7 linked regions of the Macaca fascicularis genome follow. The protein of the gene in region 6 interacts with the protein of the main gene of each other region in a pairwise test. Links are inferred from orthologs where the notes say so. Each region holds a gene or a part of one and is shown on either strand. Other genes may lie near its edges.

What was found.
Region 1: the proteins of NUP62 (region 6) and KRT20 interact in binary tests that used the Homo sapiens proteins (3 or more experiments, as listed by UniProt). The two-hybrid records come from large-scale screens. The link is inferred for Macaca fascicularis from reciprocal best matches to the Homo sapiens genes NUP62 and KRT20.
Region 2: the proteins of NUP62 (region 6) and HSF2 interact in binary tests that used the Homo sapiens proteins (3 or more experiments, as listed by UniProt). The link is inferred for Macaca fascicularis from reciprocal best matches to the Homo sapiens genes NUP62 and HSF2.
Region 3: the proteins of NUP62 (region 6) and ABI2 interact in binary tests that used the Homo sapiens proteins (3 or more experiments, as listed by UniProt). The link is inferred for Macaca fascicularis from reciprocal best matches to the Homo sapiens genes NUP62 and ABI2.
Region 4: the proteins of NUP62 (region 6) and KANSL1 interact in binary tests that used the Homo sapiens proteins (3 or more experiments, as listed by UniProt). The two-hybrid records come from large-scale screens. The link is inferred for Macaca fascicularis from reciprocal best matches to the Homo sapiens genes NUP62 and KANSL1.
Region 5: the proteins of NUP62 (region 6) and CRCT1 interact in binary tests that used the Homo sapiens proteins (3 or more experiments, as listed by UniProt). The two-hybrid records come from large-scale screens. The link is inferred for Macaca fascicularis from reciprocal best matches to the Homo sapiens genes NUP62 and CRCT1.
Region 7: the proteins of NUP62 (region 6) and FABP3 interact in binary tests that used the Homo sapiens proteins (3 or more experiments, as listed by UniProt). The two-hybrid records come from large-scale screens. The link is inferred for Macaca fascicularis from reciprocal best matches to the Homo sapiens genes NUP62 and FABP3.

The regions. Positions count from the first base shown.
Region 1 is NC_088390.1:61,961,234-61,965,385, reverse strand, and holds the end of KRT20 (keratin, type I cytoskeletal 20), read left to right. Parts: intron 1-503; coding exon 504-724; intron 725-1,443; coding exon 1,444-1,481; intron 1,482-2,401; coding exon 2,402-2,499; 3' UTR 2,500-3,177; downstream 3,178-4,152. UniProt on the Homo sapiens protein: Plays a significant role in maintaining keratin filament organization in intestinal epithelia. When phosphorylated, plays a role in the secretion of mucin in the small intestine.
Region 2 is NC_088378.1:26,360,144-26,365,031, forward strand, and holds the start of HSF2 (heat shock factor protein 2), read left to right. Parts: upstream 1-1,581; 5' UTR 1,582-1,684; coding exon 1,685-1,777; intron 1,778-4,367; exon of another isoform or gene 4,368-4,553; intron 4,554-4,888. UniProt on the Homo sapiens protein: DNA-binding protein that specifically binds heat shock promoter elements (HSE) and activates transcription. In higher eukaryotes, HSF is unable to bind to the HSE unless the cells are heat shocked.
Region 3 is NC_088386.1:99,290,561-99,294,712, reverse strand, and holds part of ABI2 (abl interactor 2), read right to left. Parts: intron 3,516-4,152; coding exon 3,333-3,515; intron 1-3,332. UniProt on the Homo sapiens protein: Regulator of actin cytoskeleton dynamics underlying cell motility and adhesion. Functions as a component of the WAVE complex, which activates actin nucleating machinery Arp2/3 to drive lamellipodia formation.
Region 4 is NC_088390.1:67,749,871-67,754,022, reverse strand, and holds part of KANSL1 (KAT8 regulatory NSL complex subunit 1), read left to right. Parts: intron 1-2,583; 5' UTR 2,584-2,678; coding exon 2,679-3,967; intron 3,968-4,152. UniProt on the Homo sapiens protein: Non-catalytic component of the NSL histone acetyltransferase complex, a multiprotein complex that mediates histone H4 acetylation at 'Lys-5'- and 'Lys-8' (H4K5ac and H4K8ac) at transcription start sites and promotes transcription initiation.
Region 5 is NC_088375.1:108,651,111-108,654,098, forward strand, and holds CRCT1 (cysteine-rich C-terminal protein 1), read right to left. Parts: upstream 1,488-2,988; 5' UTR 1,465-1,487; coding exon 1,150-1,464; 3' UTR 848-1,149; downstream 1-847.
Region 6 is NC_088393.1:57,893,084-57,896,789, reverse strand, and holds part of NUP62 (nuclear pore glycoprotein p62), read left to right. Parts: intron 1-3,008; 5' UTR 3,009-3,085; coding exon 3,086-3,706. UniProt on the Homo sapiens protein: Essential component of the nuclear pore complex. The N-terminal is probably involved in nucleocytoplasmic transport.
Region 7 is NC_088375.1:203,636,263-203,641,133, reverse strand, and holds the start of FABP3 (fatty acid-binding protein, heart), read right to left. Parts: upstream 3,114-4,871; 5' UTR 3,052-3,113; coding exon 2,979-3,051; intron 1-2,978. UniProt on the Homo sapiens protein: FABPs are thought to play a role in the intracellular transport of long-chain fatty acids and their acyl-CoA esters.

The sequences.
Region 1 (4,152 bases), on a different chromosome or scaffold from region 6:
GATCGCACTACTGCACTCCAGCCTGGGGAACAGAGCAACACTCTGTCTCAAAAAAAAAAAGAAAAAGAAAAGGCATTTGTCAGTTTGACCGGCATTTCATTAACCAAAGAGAGTCACATGACCCAGCCAGCTGTCAATGGATTAAAGGAATCTAATCCTGCAACTGAGAAATGCCACAGATCACATGGCCAGGTCTGATGAAGGAGTGAGAGGTATAACATCTTCACATGGTGGGGAAGCAAATATTGAGAACAATTCTACAATGTGCTGCACTGAGAGAACAGTGGGTGCAAAGCTACAAGCAAAGAAAAACCCCAAGAGCTAATGATCCTAGCTGGCTGGCTGAGGTTGCCTAGTTGGGAAGAGTGGGAGATGGAGCTAGAAATACACACCATGCCCACAGTGATGAACTGCAGAGACCCTTCTCAAAATAAATTAAAATTGACCCATCTCTTGAATCAAGTCCTTAGATAAGAAATGCCCTATTTTTCTTGTGCTCATAGAAAGAGTCTTTGGAGCACACCCTAGAGGAGACCAAAGCCCGTTACAGCAGCCAGTTAGCCAACCTCCAGTCGCTGTTGAGCTCTCTGGAGGCCCAACTGATGCAGATTCGGAGTGACATGGAACGCCAGAACAATGAATACCATATCCTTCTTGACATAAAGACTCGGCTTGAGCAGGAAATTGCTACTTACCGCCGCCTTCTGGAAGGAGAAGACGTAAGGTAAGGCTCTTAGAATCAAGGAATAGGTGTCAATGTCTGTATGCACTTCTATTTTAATGTCCCTGTCACTCGTTACCCAGCACCAATGCAATCCCTAGGACAGAAGTAATTATACTCACACGCACCTCACCACCACCAACAAAACGAAAATATACCAAAAAGTAGACACACGCCCAAAATATCAAGTACAGCCTTGAGATCATGTGATAGGACTGAGTTAGAAGATAATTCTCCAAATGATAGATTATGCTGATATTAATTTTCATCATTAATATATAACTGAAGGCATAACAGCCTTTTGGAAATTCTAATTGAGAGCTCATGAATTAGAAAATAAGTTGCTGAGGTCCACGGGAGCCAGAATCATCAGTGTGGCAGCAGCAACTGTCTTCAGATACCATACCTAAGAATATCAACAAGAGAACACAAGATTTAAACTTACATTGTAATTTTGTTACTTTAATTAGAGGAACTTCTTAGCTTATATTAAACTGGTCAGTTTTAAAGCTATGTATTTTTCAAGTTAAAAAGTAAAACACTCAAGTTTGCAATAACAAGCAATGTAAAAGGGAAAGATACATGAAAGCATTAAAACACATTCACTTGGACTTTGAAATATAAAAGATAAGAGTGCATTCCATTTTCAAAACAGCAATAATCCTTTTTTCTGTTTCTTTTTTCTTCTTTTCATTAAAAAAAAACAAAACAAAACAAAACAGAACTACAGAATACCAGTTAAGCACCCTGGAAGAGAGAGGTAAGTTCTAAATTTTTGCACATTTTCTATGACACTCAGCTGCTTTCCAATAACTATCTCCCATGGATAAAAAGTAAAGTGAGGCTGTTTCAGTCTGTTTTCTGCTCCTGTAATGGAATACCTGAGACTGAATAATTTACTAACAATAGAAGTTTACTTGGCTCACAGTTCTGGAGGCCAGAAAGTCCAATATCAAGGTGCCAGCATCTGGTGAGGGCCTTCTTGCTGCGTCATCCCATGGCAGAAAGTAGAAGTGCAAAAGAGTGTGCATGAGAGCCAGAGAGAAAAAGAAGGCTGATCTTGCTTTTATAACTAGCCCACTCTCACAATAACTAACCCATTCCTATGGTAACCACATTAATCCATCCATGAGGGCAGAGCCCTCATCATCTAATCACCTCTTACTAGGCCCCACCTCCCAACACTGTTACATTGGGGATTAAGTTTTCCACACATGAACTCTAGGGAACACATTCAAACCATAGCAAAGGCCAATTCTCAAAACAGCAGATATGACACCAGGGATTCTAAAAATCTTGTACATGGCATAAAGAAACCCTCTATGTGGGAACTTGGGCACACTCCTCAGAACGGGGTGATTTTCTTGGCCTGTGCTATTGCTATCTTGAGACATCTGAGATCCTGAAAAGGAAAAACAAGACAAAATCTGAATTCCACTTAAATTCAAGATCATTTATTTCTTGAATTTATAAGAGTAGGATATTTGTAAATTTGGGGAGAAGCACATTTTCTGTATCTATTTATAAAATGGACTTAAGATTTTTTGAGAAAGAGGATGGGTTTAACATATTTTTCTAAAAGAAGGAAATAAGTAAAAAGAATAATAATTTAAAGTTGAATATTATAAATCAGTAGAGTCATGTGCCTGAATTAACATTTAATGTTTAATATGAATTCAGATATAAAGAAAACCAGGAAGATTAAGACAGTCGTGCAAGAAGTAGTGGATGGCAAGGTCGTGTCATCTGAAGTCAAAGAGGTGGAAGAAAGTATCTAAATGGCTACCAGAAGGAGATGCTGCTTAGGTTTTGAAAGAAATGAGGCTATAATCTTATCTGCTCCCTGCAAGAAATCGGCCATAAGAAAGCATTATTAATACTTTGCAGTGATTAGAAGGGGTGGGGTGGGGGAAATCCTATTTATCAGACTCTGTAATTGAATATAAATATTTTACTCAGAGGAGCTGCAAATTGCCTGCAAAAATGAAATCCAATGAGCACTAGAATATTTAAAACATCATTACTGCCATCTTTATCATGAAGCACATCAATTACAAGCTATAGACCACCTAATATCAATTTGTAGGTAATGTTCCTGAAAATTGCAATACATTTCAATTATACTAAACCTCACAAAGTAGAGGAATCTATGCAAATTGCAAATAAACTGGTTTCTAATTTTTTCCTGTTTCTGAATTGTAAAACCCCCTTTGGGAGTCCCTGGTTTCTTATTGAGCCAATTTCTTGGTTAATCTCATTGATTTTTCAGCATCAGTACAACTCTACAACCTTTGAGCTATCTCTGCTTTTTCCCATTGTTTCTACTGCCTTTTAAAAGTCTACACAGCTCTTTGAATAATTTGAGAGTCAAATTCAATCACAAATGCGGAGCAGAATAAGAGTGAAGTACACTATACTTAAAATGTAAATAGATTAAAAACATTACCAAAACCCTTCTCAAGGCAAAATGTGTCTCCTTTTGATAGTAAGCTGCATATACTATCAGGTGCTCTCTTTTTTAATATATGGTGAACATATATTTTTAATGAAATTTTTTAAAATAACAGCTTTATTGAGACATAATTCACACACCATGAAATTCACCCTTACAATGTGTACAATTCAGTGGTCTTTGGTATGCTTAAAATATTTTGCAACCGTCACCACTACCTAATTTTAGAACATTTCATCATCCCAAAAGGAAATCTTGTACCTATTAGTAGTCACCCCCCATTTCCCTTCCTCCCAGCCCCTGACAACCACTAATCTACTTCCCCTCTCTACGGATTTGCCTACTCTGGACATTTCGTATAAATGGGATCATATGATGTGCCCTTTTATACACAAATGTTCATAGCAGCATTACTCATAAGAGTCCCAAAGCAAAACACCTCAAATGTCCATCAACTGATGAATGGATAAACAAAATGTAATATATCCACACAATAGAATCTCATTCGTCAATAAAAAGGAATGAAGTACTAACACATGCTATAACAGAGATGAACTTGGAAAATATGCTAAGTGAAAGAAGCCAAATCCAAAAAAAAGAAAAACACACATTGTAACCTCACCCTTTCTGCATTTTAGTGAGCAATCATTGCATATGAATGTGTATGGGAAAAAATCAATGTGCGCTAAATCATCGTAGTCTAGTAAATAGATTGGACTTAAAACTTGATACAGAAGTTGTAAATAAGTGGGAGTGAGTTTGATTATTATATAGAAAATACTTACATGATTCATTTAAGAATAATAATATCCACCATTTATTGAGCACTTACTATGAGCCTGTGTGCCAAACATTTCATGCATTTCTCATTTAATTTTCACAATAATCCTGTGAGGTAGAAGCTATTAGGTTGAATCATATGAACCTGCCAATATATGATAATTTCTAAGAGTTGGGAATTTTTGAGGATGTGGATGGT
Region 2 (4,888 bases), on a different chromosome or scaffold from region 6:
TTTATATATATTAATGAGTGCTGATCACTGTGGTCATGTTGTTTCTCGAGTTTGAATATAAGCATCTTGAGCTTTGAAACAGTGTCATCATTGTACAATGGAAAGGGCACATACTTTTGAGCTCAATAAAGCTTGGGTGTAAAGTCTCTCTCCCATTTACTTGCTGTGACTGGGGACATTAATCAACTTTTGAGTCTCAGAATCTTCACTGGGAAAAAGGGATAATAAAACCTAATTCATTGGATTGTTGTGAGGATTCAATAATATATGTAAAGCCCTTGGCATATATAAGGGCTCATCAAATACTAGTTCCTCTATCACATGTATGCCTCCATATATCTGATTTTGCTTCAGCCAACATCCCAGTGCTGAACACAAAGGCAGCATTCAATAAATATTTGCTCATTGGAAGATACCCTCTCTATATATGTATTTTTAATGTACTATTTTACATTTACCCAAGAAGTAAACCAATCCTATGTTGAATTTTTGTATAATGTGTTGGCTCTGACTTGTTTGTTTTTACCTTCACATGCTGACCTCTGTAAAAAAAAAAAAAAAAAAAAAAGTCGAATTTTGTAGACTTCATATTTTCAAAGCATTTGCACAGCCATTATAGCATTAAAGACACTCTTAATGGGTAAAAAGATCTTATTCCCAATCAAGAAATGGGAAAAAGTGGCACTGGTGGCTAAGGAATTGCTCTAAGTGACAGTACCAGTGTATTTTAATATACAGAAAAACGTTCAAGAGGCTTTATCTAAACTCAGATCTACTGACTCCTTCTCCATTTTTTTTTTCATTATACCAATCTCTCAGGCTAAAAAGAATGTATCTGTAAAGTATACGCAGGAACAACTATTTTAATTAACTAAAATAGTATAAACAGTCTATTTCTTTTTATTCTGGGTGTAGAGTATGCACTTGATGACTGGATTAAAAACAGCACATGATACATCAATTGCAGTTCCTGGTTTACAGTTTTAAGTAATAGACAGTGAGTTATTTAAACTGCTCTTTTTGATAAACATATTTTAAAGAGGGCTTTTTCTCCCAATGATAATGTAAGAACAAGGTTCATTATTTTTAAGACAATTTCAATTCGGGGCCTAGCACATCACGCTTGAGAGCTGGTTTTTTCCTTCTGCGAATGGATCTTCTCTAAACTGGTGCAAACCACACTTTGCCTGCCAAACTTATGACTCAAAGGCCCCGAAGGGCTTTTTGTAGCCTCCCAGCCACAGCCCAGAAACCATAAGCTGTTTCCACGTGAAACGTCCAAACACGGTCTCCCAAGCCGAAGATCCGCTACCATCAAAGCTTCTGTATAAAAGGCAAATGAGAAGGCAGCGCCCCCTTCTGCTCCCACCCCCTTCTGCTCCCACCCCCTTCATGTCAGCAGCAGCCAATCGCTTTTCTCCATCGTGTGGTCGGCCCCTGGGATTGGCCAGGGACGGGACCGGCGCGGAACCACTGCGCGCACAGGCGGAGCGCGGGGACTTGTCCGTCACGTGCGGCCGCCCGGCCTCTCTGCCTCGCCGCGCGCCTGGCGGGGTTGGGGGGCGGGGACCAAGATCTGCTGCGCCTGCGTTGTGGGCGTTCTCGGGGAGCTGCTGCCTGAGCTGCTGCCGCCGCTACCACCGCGTTCGGGTCTAGAATTTGGAATCCCTGCGCCGCGTTAACAATGAAGCAGAGTTCGAACGTGCCGGCTTTCCTCAGCAAGCTGTGGACGCTTGTGGAGGAAACCCACACTAACGAGTTCATCACCTGGAGCCAGGTACGGTCAGGCCACGGCGGCCTCTGCACCCCCTGAATAACCGCGTCCTCACTCGCTCTCCCGCGGGGTGGTCTCTCGCGGCCTTGCGGCTCGACGCTGCCTGCGAGGCCAGCGGTGCGGGGCCTTGGTGTTCGGCCTCGCGGGGGACCCCCTGTATTGTTCGCTAGGGGAGCCGCGGGGGCCCGGCCGGCAGCGCCGCTCGCCTCAGGCCGCGGTGGGGGAGGGGCGGCCCGCGCGGGGCGTAGCGGCCCTGGCAGCCCCTTAACGGTCTGGTCCGCGTTCGGAACCGGCCCGGCGTCGCGAGGGGAATCGGCGAGCCGAGGGCGCGGGAGCCTCTTTACTGCACACTCATCCTCTGTCCTCCTGCCCGGCTCAGGGGTTACAAATCGCGGAGGGGACGGGGAGTCCAGGGCCAGGATCATCGACCTGGGGCTTTACAGGAGGCGATCTTTACCTCAGCGACCGATCACCCCCTCCCCGTTCCCCCAACACTGCTTTGCATCTGGGATCTTTATGTGGAGAGCAGTCAGGGAAATATATATTCAAACGCAGATTACTGCTTATCAGTTGGTTTTAAAAATATATAGAAATTAACACATTCTTTCGAGATTCTGTGCTATTTGTATAGTCGGATTATTAGGATTGTTTTAATAAAGTACTAATAGGTGGTCAGTAACTTAGTAGTTACTAAATTTCACTGAACTGTTACCAGCAGAGGGGCATATCGATGTGTTGATTATTGGTCTGATCTCAACTCTGCTTGTAAACAAGGATGACCTTAGTCCAGCCCCTTTTCTTGTCTGGCCTAAGTTAAATCCGTAAGATGGATGGGTTGCCTAGGTGACCCAAGACCTCTTTCAGTTCCAAATACAAGATTCTAGGCAGAATGATTATTTACATCCACACTACCTTTACATTAGAATACAATCCTAGGCTGTTGGAATCATTTTATGAAGGGAAGTGGTTAACCCTTATTGTAGATGATCACCTATTGAGGCATATTTTCATGTGTGTAGTTCTTGAGAAGAGTAAGTGAAAACTACCTGCATAGTGCCTGGCACCTGTTAAGTGCTGAGTAAATGTTATCTCCCGTCCTCCTTTCTTTCCTGTTCTCCTCCTATTATAGGAACTCTCAGTTTTATTTACTTTTATCTTAACAGGGAGTGAGCACCATATTAAGACCCTGAAGTTTTGACTACTGTAATACCATAGTTTGCCTTGTGTTATTATTTGTTCTTTTTTCTAACTTCCTTCTAGGGTTTAATTTTTGTGTGTTCCTTATGAGCAACTGAGTTATCCTTTTAGCCCCACTCCCTGCTTGGAGTTGAGTGCGGGGAGGTGGTGGGGCGGGGGCATTGTGTGAGTGTATTAAGAATTTAATGAGTTCTGTACAATTGTACAAAGCTAGGTGAAAATAAGAAAGCCAGCCACTAGCATGTACTTAAAATAAACACATGTCTCATGCTTTTCATCAGTTAGAAGGATTAAAAGTTGACAAGAAGGGTCAGCACAGACTGTCATTCAGACATGTATTCGTGTTAGAGATCGGACTGAGATTCTCTCCCCACGAAAGCTGACTTTATCATACCTTTTTGTCTTTTACAGGCCAGAAATAGGGGCCATATATATTGGCAGTTGCTTTTAATAAGAGTATCATGCCAGTCGTAGGCCTGTTAAATTCTGATTAGTAACTGTTTTAATAGCATTCTTATTTTCTGAGCAGTGTCAAATGTGGAGAGTTTTGTACTGATCCACAAATGCATCATTCTGTGAGTTCTAAGCCAAATAAGCCACTTAACCATTTTTTAATCCCATTACTAACTTTAAGCTTATGTGTTAACTAATTTTCTAATATGCCTATGGGACAATCAAAATGTAAGCTCAGTGAGATCACTGTGGCGGAGACACAGTAGATGTTTAATAATTGATGAATAAATGAGATCCCTCGAAAATGTAATGGAGTGGTAGGAATGATGAAGGTAAAATTATGTTTGAAATGAATCTTAGAGATCATCTAGGTTAGCCTCATCATTGTATAGATGAGGATTTGAGGCTTGGACAGGTGAGATTATTTATCCATAATTATACAGCTCGCCAAGATTGGAGATGAGACTCTAACATAAGCTAGTCCAACCCGAAGCCCACATGTGGCCAAGGATGGGTTTGAATGCGTTCCAACACAAATTCATAAAGTTTCTTAAAGAAATATGAGATATTTTTGCAGTTTTGCTTTTAAGCTCATCAGTTATCATTAGTGTTAGTGTATTTTATGTGTGGCCCAAAACAATTCTTCCAGTGCTGCCCAGGAAAATCCAAAGATTGGACGCCCCCACCCTAATAGATTTCTGAGCTCCCAGATCAGTCTTCCACCAATAGAACTAGACAATACAAGTTGACATCATATTTAGTTTTATACCAAAATGTTGCTTGCCACAAGTCAGTGGACAATTCTGAATAAATGTTGTCTAGGGCTAAGCCTAGTTGCTTAGTTGTCTCACTCGTGCTCTCCATTAATTTTTCTAAAAGCAGTGCTAACACTGAAAAGTAAAACTTTAACAATAATGTTAGGTGGAAAAACCAAAATAAGTTACTTTCATCTTTCTCTTTTCTTTGATGAATAAATGAAATCCCTAGAAAATGTAATGAGAGTGGTAGGAACGATGATATAATAGTCCTCAGCAGGCTTTGAATTTCTAAGTGGCAGAGATTATATCACATTCTTTTTTTTTTTTTTTTTTTTTTTTTTTGTAGTAGAGTATCACTCTGTCACCCTAGAGTACAGTGGCACGATCTCAGCTCCCTGCAACCTCTGCCTCCTGGGCTCAAACGATTCTTCTGCCTTAGCCTCTTGAGTAGTTGTGATTACAGATGCACACCACCATGCCTGGCTAATTTTTGTGTTTTTAGTAGAGAGGGTATTTCACCATGGTGGCCAGGCAGTCTCAAACTGCTGACCTCACGTGATCCGCCTGTCTTGGCCTCCCAAAGTGTTGAGATTACAGGTGTGAGCCACAGGTGCCCAGGTACTCTCATCTTTTAAAAGTGGCTATTTATGGTGGTTTCTGGTTTCCTTCAAACTTGTGTTTTACTTCTGTTGAGCTAATTTAGCAT
Region 3 (4,152 bases), on a different chromosome or scaffold from region 6:
GCAGTGAGCCGAGATCACCACTGTACTCCAGCCTGGGTTGTCTGTCTCAAAAAAAAAAAGACACTATTCACACTATTAATGAGAGATTTACCATTTGGGGTTTTAAAAATATATATACCTAATTATCATAAACCTAACGATAAAACCTGAAACTAAAAACTTCTAGAAGAAAACACAGAACAAAATCTTTATGACTTCAGGTAAAGAGTTCTTAGATACGCCACCAAAGCACAATTCATTAAAAAAAATAATAATAATAACACTTAATAAAAATGAAGAATTTCTGCTATTTAAAATACATTTAAAAAATAAATGGGCCGGGCGCGGTGGCTCACGCCTGTAATCCCAGCACTTTGGGAGGCCGAGGCGGGCGGATCACAAGGTCAGGAGATCGAGACCACGGTGAAACCCCGTCTCTACTAAAAATACAAAAAATTAGCCGGGCGCGGTTGTGGGCGCCTGTAGTCCCAGCTACTCGGGAGGCTGAGGCAGGAGAATGGCGTGAACCCGGGAGGCGGAGCTTGCAGTGAGCTGAGATCCGGCCACTGCACTCCAGCCTGGGCGACAGAGAGAGACTCCGTCTCAAAAAAAAATAAAATAAAATAAAAAAATTAAAAAAAAATAAATGAACAGGCTGGGCCCAGTGGCTCACGCCTGTAATCCCAGCACTTTGGGAGGCCGAGGCAAGCAGATCACCTGAGGTCAGGAGTTCAAGACCAATTTGGCCAACATGGTGAAACCCCATCCCTACTAAAAATACAAAAATTAACTGGGCATGGTGGCAGGCACCTGTAATCCCAGCTACTTGGGAGGCTGGGCAGTCGCTTGAACCTGCAAGGTGGAGGTTGCGGTGAGCCGAGATCACGCCACTGCACTCCAGCCTGGATGCCAAGAGTGAAACTTTGTCCTCCCGCCGCCCCCACCCCCGCTCCCACCAAAAAAAAATAGAAAATAAGCAAACGAATCACAAAATGGAAGAAAATATTTGTAACTCATAATCTATAAAGGACATATATTTAGAAAGTAAAAGAACTCAATGATAAGAAAAAAAACCCTATTAAAAGGATGAGAAGGAGCAAAACATTTGAACAGATATTTCACCAAAGACGATATACACATGGCAAATAAGCACATGAAAAAAATGTTCAATATCATTAGTCATTATACAGCCATTTTGGAAAACAACTTGGCAGTTTCTTATAAAGTTAAAAATTTACTTATAACCCAGCAATTCTATTCCCTAGGTATTTACCTGAATGAAATAAAAACTCAAGTGCACAAAAAAACCCGTATGTACATGTTTACGGCAACTTTATTCATAAGCACTCAAAACTGGAAAAATCTAAATGTCCTCTGAGAAAGGGATAAACAAATTGTGGTACATCCCCATACAATACAACACTACTAAGCAATAAAATGTAATGAAATACTTAAACATGCAACAACATGGGTAATTCTCAAATGCATCTGGCCAAAAAAACAGATCAAAAAAGCTACATACCATATGCTTTCATTTATGTGTTATTCTTAAAAAGGCACAACTTTAGAGACAAAAAACACATCAACGGCTTACCAGGAGCTGGGAGTGGAGGGGAAGGATTGACTATAAAAAGGGGGCATGGAGGAAATTTTTGTGATGATAGGACTGTTCTATATCTTGATTGTGGTGGCAACTACGTGTCAGTACACCTTTGTCAAAACTCACAAACATACGTGGTATACAGGGTGAATTTTACTGTACATAAGTTACCCCTTAGTAAAAAGAAAAAAAATTGCTTGGTAACTCAAGATACTGTATAAAAGAGACTACCCTGATATAAATTATTAAAAGGCATTTACCTTGCTGTTTCAAAAACCACGGTTAATTATCCCCTCACACAACAAACGTTTATTTAGTGAACACTGAGCCAGGCACCTGTTACTCAACTAATACTTAATTACTAAAACATAGACTCTCAGTTGGGGGTCATTTGTCCTTTCCGATGCATTCTTTATCAAAGCCGGAGCACAAGGAGATTCCTATATTTAACTAGTTAGTTTGGCCTAACAGTTGTATCTGTATCAAAAAACAGCCCATGTTTACATTTATCTACTGCATAAAGCTTTTCTTTAAAAGTCATATAGAAGGAATCCCATAAGACACCATCCAAAATCCACTTTGGCTAAAAGTGTCTTTTAAAACATGTAAAGATCTTATATATGTTTAACATGTATAACAGCAAAGCTGAATGTAAATGCTATGAAGCTCTTTACTGGCAAGTGGAACACTATAGTGATTGATATGCTTTGAATCTGTGTCCCTGCCCAAATCTCATGTTGAACTGTAATCCCCAATGTTGGAGGTGAGGCTTGGGAGGAGGTGACTGGATCACAAGGGTGGTTTCTCATGGTTTAGGACCATCCCCCTTGGAGCTGTTCTTGCAATAATGAGATCTGGTTGTTTAAGTGTGTAGCACCTCCCACTTTGTCCTCTTGCTCCTACTCTGGCCATGTGACCAGTGTGCTTCCCCTCTGCTTCAGGCCATGAGTGTAAGTTTCCTGAGGCCTCCTCAGAAGCCGAGCAGATGCCAGTATCATGCTTCCTGTACAACCTGAAGAACCGTTAGCCAATTAAACCTCTTTTCTGCATAAATTACCCAGTCTCAGGTATTTATAGCATTGTGAGAACAGACTAATACAGTGATATATGTCCAAACACATATATTTTATAGCAGATAAGAACCTGTTTACTAGCCAGCATCATTAACTGTACAAATACATTTTGTAGCAATTGAGTCTATCTCCTCCCCAATCAAAACAGATTTTAGATTGCAATTTTAAAACACTAGCCAACTTAGATAAACCTGAAATTCTTTACAAGTACATTGTCTATGAGTTTCCAATGCTGCTATAATAAGCAACAGATTCTGTTAAAAACAGACTTACAGAGGCTTTCCATTTGTTGTATCAAATATTTCCTATAAAATATACCTTAGAATTATTATAATAGACTTTTGTTAATCATTTAACCTGTAATAAAAATATTTCTAATGACAATTTCCAAAAACTGTACATAAGGTAGCTCCACATTAAACTTAAAAATCTCTAATAAATGAAATTCAAGCAATAAAAGAACATAAATTTATGCTACCCTATTGGAAAAATGTATGAGAAACTTTACCTCAATTTTCTCAGGAAATGCTAATCTCTGGTCACAGACTTTCTTAGTACATTATTCTTATTTTTTTTAATACGAAGTACAATCAAACCAAAAACAAAAAAAAATCAAAGGTGCAAGTAAGAGAATAGCCAGATGACTGGATCTGCCTGCCAATTAATAAGCAAATACTTACCTGTAGGGGGAGTGGAAGAAACAACAGGGGGAGTTGGAGAAGTGAAGCCATCAGCAAGGGTCTGGGCACCCCCAGCAGCAGCGTCTGGGGCAGTGGAGGAAGGGACAGTAGCAGGAACAAGAGGGGCAGGGGCAGATGCAGAAGTAGCAGGAAGGGGAGGAGTGCCAGCAGAGCCAGCAGGGGCTGAGGGGAAAGAGGAGTAAGAGGCAGCATTAATGAGGCAATCATATGAGGCAGGATTAGAAAAGGTATTAGAGTATTTAATGTTAGATATTCAGTGCTTAACACTAACCAAAGAATAGAGTTGAAAAAAAGAATAAAACTTATGTTAAAGGATGTCTATATAAGCAGCAAATAATTCAAGACGCTCAGGGTAACGTACAGATTTTTTCAATTCATTAAAAACAAACATTCCTTTTTATTTGAAAGCACTACTCCAGAAGAAAAGTGTTCCCTTCATATTGTTATTTTTAGCATAACATTCCGTATATAGTATACAAAACTAACATAATACACTAAAAAGCAACAGTTTTCCATTTTGAATTAGACAAATCAGAAAATAGACATATTCCAGATATCAGGCAAAAAAAAAAGTTTTTTTAAAACACAAACCTTTACGATTTTTAAAAGGCATTATCTACTTGTTACTATAAGTAACTAAGTATGTAACATTCTATTAATGTATTTTGTGTCATGTTTTTAAAACTAAGTTTTAAGTGTGTATCTCCTCGAATCAAATAAGCAACTTTTCAGTTTCAGAGAAAAGAGGGTAGCATTTTCAGAGACTACTAAATTCCAATACGTCCACTAAATTTAACTG
Region 4 (4,152 bases), on a different chromosome or scaffold from region 6:
CTACAAAAATTCAAAACATTAGCTGGGCATGGTGGCAAGCACCTATAGTCCCAGCTACTGGGAGGCTGAAGCAGGAGGATCACTTGAGCCCAGGAGGTTGAGGTTTCAGTGAGTCATGATTGTGCCCCTGCACTCTAGTCTGGGTGACAGAGCTAGACCCTGTTTGAAAATAACAGCAACAAATAAATGATTTGTCTTGCACTTAAACATTCACTGGACATTTTATTGTTCACTGGGTCACGCAGATCTTCCAAATGTTACACATTACATTATGTGGAATCAAAAATTCACATTCATTAGTATCGTCACAAGTCTGTCAAATCAGAAATGGCTTTTAAAATATTGGGAAAGTCCAAGTGCAGCAGCTCACACCTATAATCCCAGCACTTTGGAAGGCCGAGGTGGGCGGATCACGAGGTCAACAGATTACGACCATCCTGGCCAAAATGGTGAAACCCCGTCTCTGCTGAAAATACAAAAAATAGCCGGGTGTGGTGGCGCACACCTGTAGTCCCAGCTACTCGGGAGGCTGAGGCAGGAGAATCATTTGAACCCAGGAGGCAGAGGTTGCAGTGAGCTGAGATTGCACCACTGCACTCCAGCGTGGCGGCAGAGCGAGACTGCGTCACACACACACACACCCCAAATAAAATCTTGGGAAAATGTTTAAGTTCATGATTGTTGATACAGTTTTCAAAAACACTAATCTTTGCTTTAAAAAATCAGATTTTATTATTGGCAGCAAATATATCATCATTGATTTTCCTTGAAGTGACAAGTTCACTTTGTTCATTTGCAAGAAAATGTCTGCTGGTGAAGCAGGTTTCAGATAATCAGTTTGTCAGTAGTTCTGCCAAGTAAAAATAGTGTTCCATGAGCAAAGCTCTAGTTCATTTTGCAACTCAGTTGTACTGTACTTTTTCCTGAGAATTCATAAAGCAGCAGAGTGCTTTATGCATACTTTCCCTTTCATCACAAAAAATACTTTTTAAAAATGCACTAAAGGCTCAAGATAATTAATAATTTTTGCTGCTTCATCAAGGACATCTTAAGTGGAACTCCCTTAAAAAAAAAAAAACTGAGTGGAGAGTGTAATGACTATTGGTATAGTTTGGTGCCTCTGCCTTGATTTGTGCTAATAATGTGCCAGCAGTTTTGTTCACCTTTGTTTTTGTATTCTGATTGCAAATATCAACACAGTGAAAAAGGCAGATAATATTCTAGTATTGCTATGAAAATACCTTTGATTTCACGAACCTCCAAAATAGTCTGTGAGATCCCCAGAAGTCCAGAGACTACACTTTAAAGAAAACTGGCTTAGTTGTTTACGTATGTTTCCTTTGACTCCCAGACCACATAGATCAAGGGGGGGGATCAAACAGAGGCAAATGACTGGGGTTTTTAGCTTGGTTACTAAATAAAAGCAGTGCCATTACCTAAGATAATGAAACAGGATGCGGAGTAGTGTGCTGGAAGGAGGAAGTGAATTCCGAGCTTCAGGTGGCTTGAGGAACATAGAGGTATGGGAATCTTAATATTAGTGCAGCTCAGAAGTTTTTTCTTAGGGTTAGGTAACCTCACCATACTAGTGGTTTTTGAGAGAGAAGAGGGCAGAAGAGACCTTGTGCAGCACCAACATTTACGGGTCCAGGAGGAAGAGAAGAGGATGATAGTACAAGGACATCAGGAAAGAATTAGAAGGATATCGGTATTGTCCAGTGCTTCAGAGAAGTCAGATAGAATGGGGACTGAGCCTTGACCATTGGATTTGGTAATAAGATTACTGGTAACCTTTGCCAGAGCAGTAGGGGATGAAATCCAGATTATGGAAGAGTGAAGAGTGCAGAGACAGTTATTTATACTATTCTTTAAAAGTTTTGGGGTAAAGGGAGAGATGTTGGGCAATTAAATATGAGAGAGAGGCTGTACTGAGGACAGAAGATACTTAAGTAAATTCCTAGGCTGAAAGGAAGAAGCTAGTAGAGAAGATACTGATGAGCACTTTGATCTGAAAGAAAAGAAAACTGATGAAACAAGTTGGTATTACAGATGAGGTACAGTTAGCTCTGTAGTATAATCTGTACTTCTAGTGAAGTGAGAAGCTGATGAAAACTGGATTCCCTGGCCAGAGAAATGCACAGACCTGTGATATTTGGCATACTTTTTTTTGTGAACACGGGAATTCCATACTAATTTTTTCTGTTTAATTATTGTTTAGTTTGATGTGTCTTGCTTTAAATCCATTTATTTCAACAAAAATTTTTTTTTTTTAATGCAGATGATTTAATTTTAACAATCTGTGATTTTCTCCGAATCGAACTTGTGTTTTGGCAACTTTCAGTCTGTAGTAACAAATGACAAGAAGAAGGGTGCAATTCTTTCTCTTGTGCAGGGATTTTGCCTCCCCCTTTCTTTCAGTTGAAAGATATTTGGGTCTCTCGAATAACTGGTACAATTAGCTCCAGAGTGCTTTCTTTCTGGAGGCAGTTTAGACAACAGCACTCAAGTAGTGCTTTTGTTAAAAATATATGTGTTTTTAAATGTGCTTGTATTTCTAACATTCTTTTCTCCTTTCTCTTCTAGTCTGTTCTCTGGGGAGGCAGTAAGGGGCCGTGGAGCTGGCCTCGGCCTCGGCCTCGGCATCGGGAGAGGCTGGACTTCCTGTCTCTCTGTGCTGAATGGCTGCGATGGCGCCCGCTCTCACTGACGCAGCAGCTGAAGCACACCATATCCGGTTCAAACTGGCTCCCCCGTCCTCTACCTTGTCCCCTGGCAGTGCCGAAAATAACGGCAACGCCAACATCCTTATTGCTGCCAACGGAACCAAAAGAAAAGCCATTGCTGCAGAGGATCCCAGCCTAGATTTCCGAAATAATTCTACCAAGGAAGACTTGGGAAAGCTGCAACCACTGGTGGCATCTTATCTCTGCTCTGATGTAACATCTGTTCCCTCAAAGGAGTCTTTGAAGTTGCAAGGGGTCTTCAGCAAGCAGACAGTCCTTAAATCTCATCCTCTCTTATCTCAGTCCTATGAACTCCGAGCTGAGCTGTTGGGGAGACAGCCAGTTTTGGAGTTTTCCTTAGAAAATCTTAGAACCATGAATACGAGTGGTCAAACAGCTCTGCCACAAGCACCTGTAAATGGGTTGGCTAAGAAATTGACTAAAAGTTCAACACATTCTGATCATGACAATTCCACTTCCCTCAATGGGGGAAAACGGGCTCTCACTTCATCTGCTCTTCATGGGGGTGAAGTGGGAGGATCTGAATCTGGGGACTTGAAGGGGGGTATGACCAATTGCACTCTTCCACATAGAAGCCTTGATGTAGAACACACAACTTTATATAGCAATAATAGCACTGCAAACAAATCTTCTGTCAATTCCATGGAACAGCCGGCACTTCAAGGAAGCAGTAGGTTATCACCTGGTACAGACTCCAGCTCTAACTTGGGGGGTGTCAAATTAGAGGGTAAAAAGTCTCCCCTGTCTTCCATTCTTTTCAGTGCTTTAGATTCTGACACAAGGATAACAGCTTTACTGCGGCGACAGGCTGACATTGAGAGCCGTGCCCGCAGATTACAAAAGCGCTTACAGGTTGTGCAAGCCAAGCAGGTTGAGAGGCATATACAACATCAGCTGGGTGGATTTTTGGAGAAGACTTTGAGCAAACTGCCAAACTTGGAATCCTTGAGACCACGGAGCCAGTTGATGCTGACTCGAAAGGCTGAAGCTGCCTTGAGAAAAGCTGCCAGTGAGACCACCACTTCAGAGGGACTTAGCAACTTTCTGAAAAGCGATTCAATTTCAGAAGAGCTGGAGAGATTTACAGCTAGTGGCATAGCCAACTTGAGGTGCAGTGAACAAGCATTTGATTCAGATGTCACTGACAGTAGTTCAGGAGGGGAGTCTGATATTGAAGAGGAAGAATTGACCAGAGCTGATCCCGAGCAGCGCCATGTACCCCTGTGAGTAGACCTCATGCATGATAGCATTCTTGAGAAATGTTGGCGCAGGGAAGAATGAATGAATCCCTACCATGGAGAGAATATGATTCTTTGTACATAGGTGTCTAGGTTCCATTTGTTTTTTTCCCTGGTGTTAGGTAGGTGAGTGCATATACATGTTAGTGAAGAAATGGAAGATATTTTTG
Region 5 (2,988 bases), on a different chromosome or scaffold from region 6:
GTGAAATGAGCGGATAAAACCTCTGCCCACAGGGATAGGTTTCTGACCTATGCAAAATGACCCACCCATTGCCGCTGCCACAGCCACCATCTCTAAAGAATGAGATCCCCACGTTTCTGAGCACACATGTTGCACCACAGAGACTCCCAGAAACCCGTGGCTCTTGGTCCTGCTTCAGCTGCACAAATGAGACCTGGAGAGGGTAGTTTCCAGCTTTCCTGGAAGGCACATCTTAGGAAAAATTTCCTCCCCAGCAAGCAAAGCAGTAGGTCAATAATCTTCCACGCCAAAAATAAAAAATAAAATAAAACGTAAAACTAAAAAATAAAAAAAGACAGCTGGCTTGATTCCAAAGCCCCCAAGAGTTGCCAAAACACACTTTTGCCACACAGCTGCCTGAACCCGGTGGTCAGGAGGAGCACCTCGGTGGTAAGGCTTGGGAAGCCCAGGTGAGGACCCAGCAGAGCAATGAAGCCTTGGAATCAGATGTCCTGTCTTCTTTATCAGGCGTCAGCTGGGTGACTTTGAACAAATTATACTTAACCTCAGTTTCTCTTGTAAAAAGGGTATAACAGCACTCTCCTACACGAGTCATTATGAGAATCAGATTGTGCCACATAAAGTCCTGAGAATACTCAAGAGCTTTGTCACGTAAAGTCATTAAAATCCTCGAAACAGTCGATATCTGATCGCTGCTATCATAATTAACAATCAGAAAGTCATCTTTTTGTTCAGGCATGAATTATACTATTCTGCCTTTCACAAACATTTCAAGTCTTTCTACCTGGGCGGAGAAACGAATGAAGAACAAATAAGAAAAAGTGTTCTAAGGAGGTAGAAGCTTTATTATGACATCTTCAAAAGACAATCAAATCATTAGGCATTTACTGAGCACCTGCTGTGTGCAAACCCGTGCAGACAGTAGGGTCCAGTGTTCCACGCATGGTTCGTGAATCCCTGGGGAGAAAAATCACATCGGAGTCAGGGAGTTTTGCGTGGCTGAGAACAAAGTGGGTTTCTGAACATCAAAGTGCAATTCGCTTTACGGGGCAAACTGCGAGGCCCAGCCCCGCGTGGGAGCCGCAGCGGGGCGGGCTCGCTCTGGGTTGGGCGGGTTTCTCTAGCGCAGCGCTGGGGGCTGCGGGTCTCTCAGCAGCCAGAGCAGCAGCCTGAGCTCTGGTTGTTGGAGCGCTGGGACCTCTGGCTGCCGCCCCCGCAGCAGCAGCAGCCACTACTCCGCTGCCGGCGGCGTCTCCTTGGGAAGCAGCAGCAACTGGTGGAGCTGGAGCCGCAGCAGCCCGAGTCGCCGCAGCAGCCGCCGCCGGAGCCGCAGCAGCCGCCGCCGCAGCAAGAGGAGGAGGAGGCGGGCGCCGGGGTGGGCGCAGGGGCAGGACACGGAGCGGGGCCCTGGGATGACCCCTTGGAAAAGCCTTTGGCGGAAGCGGCGCTCTGTTGAGAGGACATCGCGGAGCTCCTCACGACGAACCTGGAAGAAAGGCAGCCTTTTAAAGGCGAGCCGGCTTTTTCTTTCCACCAGTGGAACTCTGTCTAGGCTTTTGAGATTCGGTTTAGTGTACAAGTCAGCCCGGCCTGGGACAAGGGGGGAAAAGTACCCAGAAAGAGCGGGACATAGAAAAGCAAATCCAAGCAGGGGCTTCCAGTGAGTTAAACATGCTCAGAGCAGGACACAATCTATGCAATGAATCAGTGCATTTCCATTTTCTCTGACTAGAAGAAGACTGCTCAAGTTCTCCACAGTGGAAAATAGACAGCACACTGCGGCAGCTTATCTGTATGATCCAGTCCAAAATCTCCACTTGGCTTTTTTCCTCTTCCTCATTTTACTTTCCTACCGACCTTCGATTTGTATCTTCCTAGTTACTACACCCCATCATTTAGAAAACACCCAAGTCCAACACGCGGTCCCACCTGCTGGATCTAAATAATCCACATGCCAGAAGCAGGTCCTGATCATTCTTTCTTGCCTATGCCTCTCACGCCCCACAACCATGTGGGAAAGGAGAGTTGTGCCAATATAAATAACCCCATCCAGGGAGCTGAAAGACCTGGGTTCTAGTCACAGCTCTTCTGTGGACTTGCTGTGTACCCTTGCAAAAGCCACCTCCTGTGTTGCCTTCATGTCCTCATTAGTACCTTAAGAGGTTGGCTCACTGGAAGCTTAGGTGCCTTGTAGGACACCCCTTCCGCATCTATCTGCTGCCTGTGTTCTGTTTTCTCCTCCGCTGTGCCCTCAACTCATCCCACCCTCTCCCCGAGACCCTGCGAGGAGACTTACCGGACCCTGGCTCCACTGAAAGACTCACTACGTTCTCAGGCTGGAATGGGCCACCTGCTAGGCAGTGGATTGAGCAGTGTCCAGCCAGAGAACCTTTTTATAACAAGTATTCAGGTTCAGGCTCTTGGGAGGGGCCCATTTCCCAACAGACATGCTCAGCTGACACTCACATCCCAGAGACATTCATCACTCAGGTAGCGCTGTAGGTGGTGCACGTGAGCATCTAAGTCACTTCACAGAGGTGCCAGGATTGCTATGGCATGTTTACTTTCCAAGCAGAGCACTGTTGGTACCTGGGAGGCTGTGTGTATGCTAAGAGAAGGCATGGAGCTCAAATGCAGGGAGGTCTGGAACCCCTTGTGCCCTTGTCTTCAGTGTACACAGACACGCACACACACACACACGGCTCAACTTGCCCACACATCAATTCCTGTGTAGTCATCTACTTGGTAGGTGGTAGTTCACCTATTTTTATCTTGATTCTCATCTCTCTGGCTCTTGGTCCTTGGCTCCCCAGGGCAGACCACAAGCTATGCAATAAGCCTGCTGGGTTTCATCCATATGCTTCAAGATGCAGTGAGTGAAGATGATGACAGGAATGCACCTGTGGGAATCCCAGGGGCGATTTCTCTCTGTCACTGGAGACAGGAAGAAAAACCAAGCAAAGTTAAGGAACCATAAGACCAGAAAAG
Region 6 (3,706 bases):
AAAAAAAAAAAAAAAAAAAAAAGGATCTGCCCCAAAGTTTGCTTTTAGGAAAGGGTGAGTAATGATATATCTAACTTTTTTTTTTTTTTTTTCAGATGGGGTCTTACTATTTTGCCCAGGCTGGAGTGCAGTGGCACAATCACTGCAGCCTCCACCTCCCTGGGCTCCAGTGATCCTCCCATCTCAGCCAACTCATTTTTGTATTTTTTTGTAGAGACAGGATCTCGCTATATTGGCCAGGCTGTTCTTGAGTTCCTGAGCTCAAGCAATCCTCCCACCTCAGCCTCCCAAAGTGCTGGGATTACAGGCGTCAGCCACTGCACCTGGCCATATTACATCTAAACTGCATGGATCAGAGCTGGATTTGTATGGGTTCACCATTGTGACTAGATCCCTGGCACCTGAAGTATTAGAAACCAACGAGGCACTTAATAAATGGTGAACTGTTGGCTGGGCGTGGTGGCTTACGCCTATAATCCCAGCACTTTGGGGGGCTGAGGCAGGTGGATCACCTGAGGCTGGGAGTTTGAGACCAGCCTGACCAACATGCAGAAACCCCGTCTCTATTAAAAATACAAAATTAGCTAGGTGTGGTGGCATGTGCCTGTAATCCCAGCTACTCAGAGGCTGAGGCAGGAGAATTGCTTGAACCCAGGAAGCGGAGGTTGCAGTGAGCCAAGATCGTGCCATTCCACTCCAGCCTGGGCAACGGAGCGAGACTCCCATCTCAAAAAAAAAAAGGTGAACCGTTAAGCCAGACAAGTCCCCACAGAAGATTGTTTTCCTTGTAGTTTTTTCATAGTTGTAAAGAGCTTTTTATAAATGCTCTTCTTGGAAATTTTAGCTATAACTTATTAATAGCAAAAGCTTTTTTAAGCTGAGTTTTTGAGAACTGAGATGTGTAGGTGTAGCTGCTCCAATGCCTTTAGCTGCCAGTAACAACACACCGACTTGAGGTGGCTCAGCAGTGAGGACTTTTGTTCTGTCCCACAACGGGAGGAATGGATGCAGGCCGGGCTGGGCCCCAACAGTCCTGGGGGCTCAGGCACTTGCTGTGGCCTGTTGAAGAAGCCTTTCTCAGAATCCCCCAGGAGAGCTTTATGAAAATGCCAGGGCCAGCATCCTAGCCCTGGAGAGACTGGCTTCATGGAGCTGGCAGCCTTCGGTGTTTTAAATGCTCCAGTCAGTGCTGATGGGCGCCCATTGAGATCTGCTGGCTGGGACAAGGCAGAGCGCATGCAGCTGGCCCTGGGGTCATCTCCCCAGACTTGCTTGGCTGTGTGGAGGAGGAGGAGCAGATGAAACAAAAATTAGGGGCCTGTGGAAGGCAGAAGGGTGCAGTGGAAGGGGTGGGGGTAGTGAGGTAGGTTTCCTCTTCCTCAAGCTAGAAGGGGATTTCCTGAGGACAGACACCAAGCAATTTAAAAACTGGCCTGGAGAGAGGGAAGAGGAAACAGACGTCGTGGGTGTTTCTCTGGGCCAGGCACTTGGCTTCTCAGTCATGACTTTGTTCGTTCTGTTTGTTTGTTTGTTTTTTAGACAGGGCCTCCCTCTTTCCATTTCCGGCTTTTAGAGCTGCTTCTGCCTTCCCTGGCTCCTGGCTTTCTCCCGTCTTCAGGTTCCAAAGCGCATCACTCCAGTCTGCTCTTGCCACCACAAGCTTTCTTCCCTCTCCAGTCAGTCAAACCGATCTTCTAAGGATGCTTCTGATCATCTGGAGGGCTCTCACCTATAGTCCTAGCACTTTGGGAGGACAAAGAGGGAGGATCGCTTGAGCCCAGGAGTTCAAGACCAGGGCAACAGAGTGAAATCCCGTTCCTACAAAAAATAAAAAAGATTAGCCGGGCATGGTGGCATGTACCTGTAGTCCCAGCTACTTTGGGAGGCTGAGGTGGAAGGATCGCTTGGGCCCCGGAGCTTGAGGCTGCAGTGAGTTGTGATATGTCACTGCATTCCAGCTGGTATGACAGAGCAAAACCCTTTCCCAAAAGAAAAAAAACACCCCTATCCAGCACTTCCTCTCACCCTTTCCTCACCATCCCGCTGATAGATGGCACCACTTGGAGATTTTTCGGTTAGACGTTACCAACATCAAGTCAGTTTGGACTGAAGGGAAATGTTTGGCCCATGGGGCTTCTCGGGGGCTCTTTATCTGTTCCCCACCCCATCCATCTCTGGTGGGGCTCATGGTCTCCGGTGATGTCCCAGTGTCTGCAGGTGGTTGAGAAGGTGTCCAAGGGTGGCCCAGGTGCAATCCCCTGCACCACACTTAGAGGCGAAGGAGGCAGCTGCCTTCTGAGCATGGAGAAAATCCCAGGGGAGGCTCTGATTGCCTGGCTCGGGTCTCAGTTTATCCTCGAGCCAGTCACTGTGGCCAGGGGCATCTGTGCTCTGAGCACATGGGTTTCAGACCCTCCCCTGAGTTAGGAGGGGCACGTCCTCTCCTGCTCTTAGAGAGTACAGGTGTGGGCCTGGGGGACCTTCAGCAGCCCGTATCCTGCCATCCAGCCTGGGTTCCCTGCCCCATCTCTCTCTCTCACGTCCAGAGAGGCCCTCAGGGTGGCAAGAGCTGATCCGCTCACACCCCGCTAGAGTCAGCCAGGGAACCTTACTGGGTCCCACGCTGGGAGCAGGTCCTACAGCTGTTCTTCTGTGTCCTAGTCCCGCTTGTGGCAGTGCCTCAAATCTGATCTCCTCGGGCTGAAGTGGGTCCAAGGTCCTGTTCTCCCGCCTCATCCTCCAGAGTGGGAACTTTCCACTGTGCTGAATGTGGCCATGCACGTCCCTAGCACCCCGACTCCTCGTACCTGACCCCTGGAGCGTGCATTTGTGCTTCTGGATCCTTCTCGATGTAGCAGAGTCTGGTTTAGGTTACACAGGACGAAGGGGGGTTGCTGCATGGTATCATAATCCCATCCCACCACCCTCCAAACCAGCCGTGCCCAGTCATGCCACTGGGCTTGCCTTTCCAAAACTGCCATCTGACAGTGTCACTTCCTTTGCTTTAGAAATATTCCCGAGGTCGCAGACGCCAGCGGATTTGCTTTGGGAGCCAGAGTAGCTGCCGCCACCAGAGTCCGGAGCCATGAGCGGGTTTAATTTTGGAGGCACTGGGGCCCCTACAGGTGGGTTCACATTTGGCACTGCAAAGACAGCGACAACCACACCTGCCACAGGGTTTTCTTTCTCCACCTCTGGCACTGGAGGGTTTAATTTTGGGGCTCCCTCCCAACCAACCACAAGTACCCCTTCCACCGGCCTGTTCTCACTCGCCACTCAGACTCCGGCCACACAGACAACAGGCTTCACTTTTGGAACAGCAACTCTTGCCTCGGGGGGAACTGGATTTTCTTTAGGGATCGGTGCTTCAAAGCTCAACTTGAGCAACACAGCTGCCACCCCAGCCATGGCAAACCCCAGTGGCTTTGGGCTGGGCAGCAGCAACCTCACTAATGCCATATCGAGCACTGTCACCTCCAGCCAGGGCACAGCACCCACTGGCTTTGTGTTTGGCCCCTCCACCACCTCTGTGGCTCCAGCCACCACATCTGGAGGCTTCTCATTCACTGGTGGAAGCATGGCCCAGCCCTCCGGTTTCAACATTGGCTCAGCGGGGAATTCAGCCCAGCCCACCGCACCTGCCACTCTGCCCTTTACTCCGGCCACGCCAGCAGCCACCACAGCAGGCGTCACGCAGCCAGCTGCT
Region 7 (4,871 bases), on a different chromosome or scaffold from region 6:
GGAGTTCAAGACCAGTCTGGCCAATATGGTGAAACCCTGTCTCCACTGAAAATGCAAAAAATTAGCCAGATGTGGTGGTATGTGCCTGTAATTCCAGCTACTCAGGAGGTTGAGGCTGAGAACTGCGTGAACCTAGGAGGTGGAGGTTGCAGTGAGTCGAGATTGTGCCACTGCACTCCAGCCTGGCCGACAGAGTGAGACTCCATCTCAAAAAAAAAAAAAAGTACTATGAACTTTTTGTGTAGTAAGAACTGTACATGTTATCTCATTTAGTTCTTCCTGTTCCTCTGAAGACTATTTCCACGTTACAGATGCAAAAAGAGAGGTAAAGCCCAGGGTCACAAATCTGATATTGAAGCCCAGAATTGTCTGACTCCAGAGCTTGCTTAAGTGCTCAGCTATACTACCTCCCAAGGCTAGAGCATAAGGCTGAGGAAAGAAGAGAAACGTAGACTTTCCCTTCCAAAGCCTTAGGCATAAGAGTTTTCCAACTTTGGAAGTTTTTATCCTGAAACTAAGAAGTGTTAGTGCTCTTGTCCCTTATATATGGCAACCCATCATTTTCAAAGCCTGTTATCTATGATCTAGGAGTTAGGTACAAAGGAAGTATTTGTACTATTGTACAGATTGAGGAGGAGCCTAAAGCGGTAGCAACAATGAGTTAGACTCAAACCCGTCTCCTGACTCCCTGTCTAAGGCTCTACGGAGACTCTCTTCCTGACCCAAGCATGGCTTCCCTGGGTACTGGGCAAAGTCCTAAGTGCCCTGCAAACAAGTAAAGAACAAAGAACTAATCATGACTGCCCCCTCTCCCCACAGCAGTTTACACTGAGCTGTCCTCCAAGGCAGAGGTGAGGCAGGAGGCAGCCCAGTGTAGTGAAGTGGTGTGTGTAAAGTCTCCAAATGTACCTGGCTACATAGTGCTTGCTGGAAGCTAGGTACTCTGCACATGCCCTACATGGGTTTTACTTAATGCTTGTAACAGCCCAGAAGCGTAGATTATCCCCAATTTACAATGAAGAGAGTGAAGTGTCTTGTCTAAATTCAAACAGAATAAACTGACATAGATTTGAATCTAGGCTCCAAAACTGTTGACTATTTTCACTGGGCGACTCTGCCCAGCACATACTCAGTCCAGGCCACCAGTTGTGCCTGTGGTCACTGGTACTAGACGGGACCTCTTTGCCCCTTGAGAGCCCTAGGTCTATAGCAGGAGGGGCAGGGGCTGCCTCTGCCATTATGCTATCAGCCCACCTTTGTTTGGCCAATGAGGAACTTGGCCTTGCCCCTTGGTATCAGGATGAGTCAGGCCAATCACGCTCCCCTGCATAGAGCAGGACCTTGTCACAGCACTGGGAGCTCTGTTCACTTAGGACCTACCCAGAGGTATGGAGTGTTTGAAAAGGAAACCACTGCGGTATGAGTGAGGGTCTGAACCAAGAGAAACTAAGAATATTGAGCTGACAGAATTTAGGAGACTCAGGGAGATCTGGGTTCTACTTAGAAATGAAGCCAGCACTATTTACTGAGAGCTGAGGAGGGTATTTTCCCAGGCTTTCCATTCCTACGATAAGAATGCAGGCTGCCTTAACAGAAGCTTCTGAAAGGTAACAGGACTTCAGGGAGACCAGCCTGCCTACCCAACTTAGGGCAGAATAAGAGAACAAGAATGGTAAAGTTGTTGCAGCTCAGTTCAAGGACTCAGCTCTGGCCCAGCTTTAGAAGGAGGAACTAAATCTGGTCATTCCAACTTCCCAGTAGCTGCTGGGCTGTGTTCGTGGGGGTTGGGGGGTGGTCCTCTAAGAATGACTGCCTACCTGGAATTACTGGGCATAGCGCCCAGGATAGGGTAGGGGCTGTTGAGAGCTTTGACCTCTCCATCTAAGCCCAAAGCAGTAGAAGAAGGGCTGAGGTCAATAATTAGCTAAGCAGTTCCTACTTTTCCCACTCCCAGGGCCTGTAGGGTAGTGGGAAGAGCTCTGAGTTACAGATCTAGAAACCTTAGGTTTTCATATTGGCTCTGCTGTGGAATTGTTATACATTTCTACTCTCCTGGTTTCAGTTTCCCTGCTGAACTAGATAGTATGGGAATCTCCAAATTCCTCACCTGTAAGATTCTTTAAATCCTTATTCTTCTCCATCCCAACACCACAGCAGTTTTCCACATCCTCCTAAACCAGTGACCCTCCCTCCCAGGTCTTGACCTTGCTCTGGGACCCTCTACTGCACATCAGAAGTCCAACGGCTTTCTCTGCCTACCCCTTGCACAGGTGGGTGAGCTTTGGGTTGCAGGAAAGGCCCAGCTGGTGATGGGCCTCTTGCCCCACCCTACCCCAAGGCTCGCAGACAGTGATTAAGGCCTGGTTACATAGACTGCAGGGCAAGGTCAGACTGGCTGGTGAGAAAAGAGGGCATTCTCCTACAACAATTCTTTCCCCAAATCCAACATGGAGAGATGGGGATTGCTGCTTACTGCAGGTTCCTGTCTTATGTCCTTCTCATATCTGATTCACTGATCCACGGTTTTTTCCCCACTAATCTTTTTCCTCCTAGGTATTTCCTACTTGTTTAAGGTCATAGTACACGCCCTAGCTGCCCCATTCCCTTTCTGGGTTCAGTCTCCTCCAATTTCTAAACTACCCATGCCCGTGTTCTTTTTCTCCCCTGGCTAGACTCCCCTTCCTGTGATCAGTGTTCTTTTTCCAAACCGTCCTCCTTCCTCCAATTCATATATCCCTCTTCCTAGAAAGAGCCTCCCACACAGCTGCCTCCTTCCTCCACCTCCCTACCGTGGTCTCTAACCAGATTTGGACCACCAAAGCCCCCTCCCTACAGGCCCTATCTGCCCTAGCCCAGGCTGCCATCTCCGCGCTCCCGTATTCCCCAGTCTTAACCAGGAGGGATGCAGCAGGAGTGCTGCATGGGGCTAGGCATGCTACCAGCCCAAGCCAGCATCCTGAGCCCCGCGGCTTGCTCACCGATTGACTTCATGTAGTCATCGAAATTCTTGCTGTCCACTAGCTTCCAGGTGCCCAGGAAAGCGTCCACCATAGTGATGCTGGGCTAGGCTGAGAAAAGCTACAAGAGAGCAGGCGTGCAAGGGCTCCGACGGCGGCTCCCTGGCCGGGCTGCCGCTTTAAATAGCCCTCGCATCACATGAGGAGACGTGGCCCACGCCCCCAGCTCCCGAAATAGGAAGCCCCAGGCTAGGGCTCACCCAGGAGGGGCTGGTCCGCCCATCCCCCAACCCACTGAGGTGGGTGGGGACCAGCCAGTGGCGCCCTGCTTGCCTGCGTCAGCGCCAGTGCCTGGCCCCCGAGTCCCTACCCTAGTCTGGCAGGACCTTCTCCCTTTCCTGGCCTCTAGGCACTCTGGAATCTGAGAAGGCAGCAGCCGGCACCAGCCCGAGAGCTAGGGCGCATGGCATGGATATCTTCCGTCCCCCAGTCCCTCTTTGAGCTTGGGTTCAGAGCAGAGATGAGACTAGAAAAGGAAAACGCCCTTGGGCTGGTGCCCATGCCGAGAAAAACTCTGGTTGACTTCTGGCACAGGCATCTCTCCTCGTTTTACAAGTGAGGAGCCCGAGGCTGAGAGGGGAACTGACATGGTCTCAAGAAATAGGAGGGGGTGAATGGGGCTCAGATTGCAAGCTTGGTCTAGCAGGCTTCAGAGCTCGCGCTCTCCCTTCACTCTCACTGCCCGGTGGCGGAGACAATCAGCAGGGGCTCGGTCTGCGGCTGAGCTGACCTTGTCCTCCGCCTGTTTTGAGCAAAAGCCTGACCCTTCGCGCCCCGCCCGCCTCACACGTGCTTGCCCCTCCCTGCGGAATGTCTCCTACTAGCCCTCCTCCCTCCCCACCCTACCCCACACCACCATCCAACTCCCCACCCGCCCCTGCAAGTGCTCCGGGCTTTTCCGGTTTCTTCTCACAGCTCCGAGCTTTAGCTCAGGTCGTTCCCAGTTCCCCTCCTTCAGAAATTCTGCCAATTCGGTCAGCTCTTCAGGGCCCACGGCTGCCTTCCCCACCTGCCGCCCTTTCTTTGACCTGTGCACACTAGCAAGCCGCCTGCACTTTTGGGTAATTTGCTGCCTCCTTTTGAGAGCCTGCTGTGCGTGGTTTGTCACTGTATAGTTTACTAAGCACTTTCAGTAAAAATAAGACCCGCCTTGTATTGCTCTTTATTGCATGCTGAGGGCTTTAGGTGTATTATTTCATTGAACTTTTAATTTTATTATTATTTTTTAGAAACAAGGTCTCTCGCTGTGTCCCCTAGGCTGGAGTGCTGTGACGCCATCATAGGTCACTGCAGCCTCAAACTCCTGGGCTCAAGGGATCCTCCCACCTTAGCCTCCCCAGTAGCTGGGACTATAGGCACACGCCACCACACCTGGCCTCATTGAACTTTTAAAGCAAAATCCATGATGTAGGTGTTACTGTGTTATTTTCTCTTTTTAAAAAGATGAACATGTTGAATCTCTGAGGAGCTCACTCATTAATTCAGCAGTTAATAAAGCATCTACTTTGTGTCAGGCCCTGCTTTGGAGAGAGACAACAGGGAACAAGACACACACCTCTGGGCAGCCAGACACAAAACTAGTGTGGTGGTTCTAAAGGGAATCCTGTCCTGTCCTGACCTGGGGGCCCAATGTAGGCCTCTCGGAGGAAGTGAGGAATAAATGAGTTTCTGAGGGATGGCAGGAGGCTCTGCACATCAAGGAGTAGTGCCGAACTGAATTTCAGCCAGCAGCAGCCTGTCCAGGGTGGGCCTGCAGAAGCCAACACAGGAGCCCTAAGCCTGCCACGTGCGTATAGTATGGCAGGCCCTTCTTCCTGGGACTCTGTTTCTCCATGTGCAAACCCTGCCTCCCTT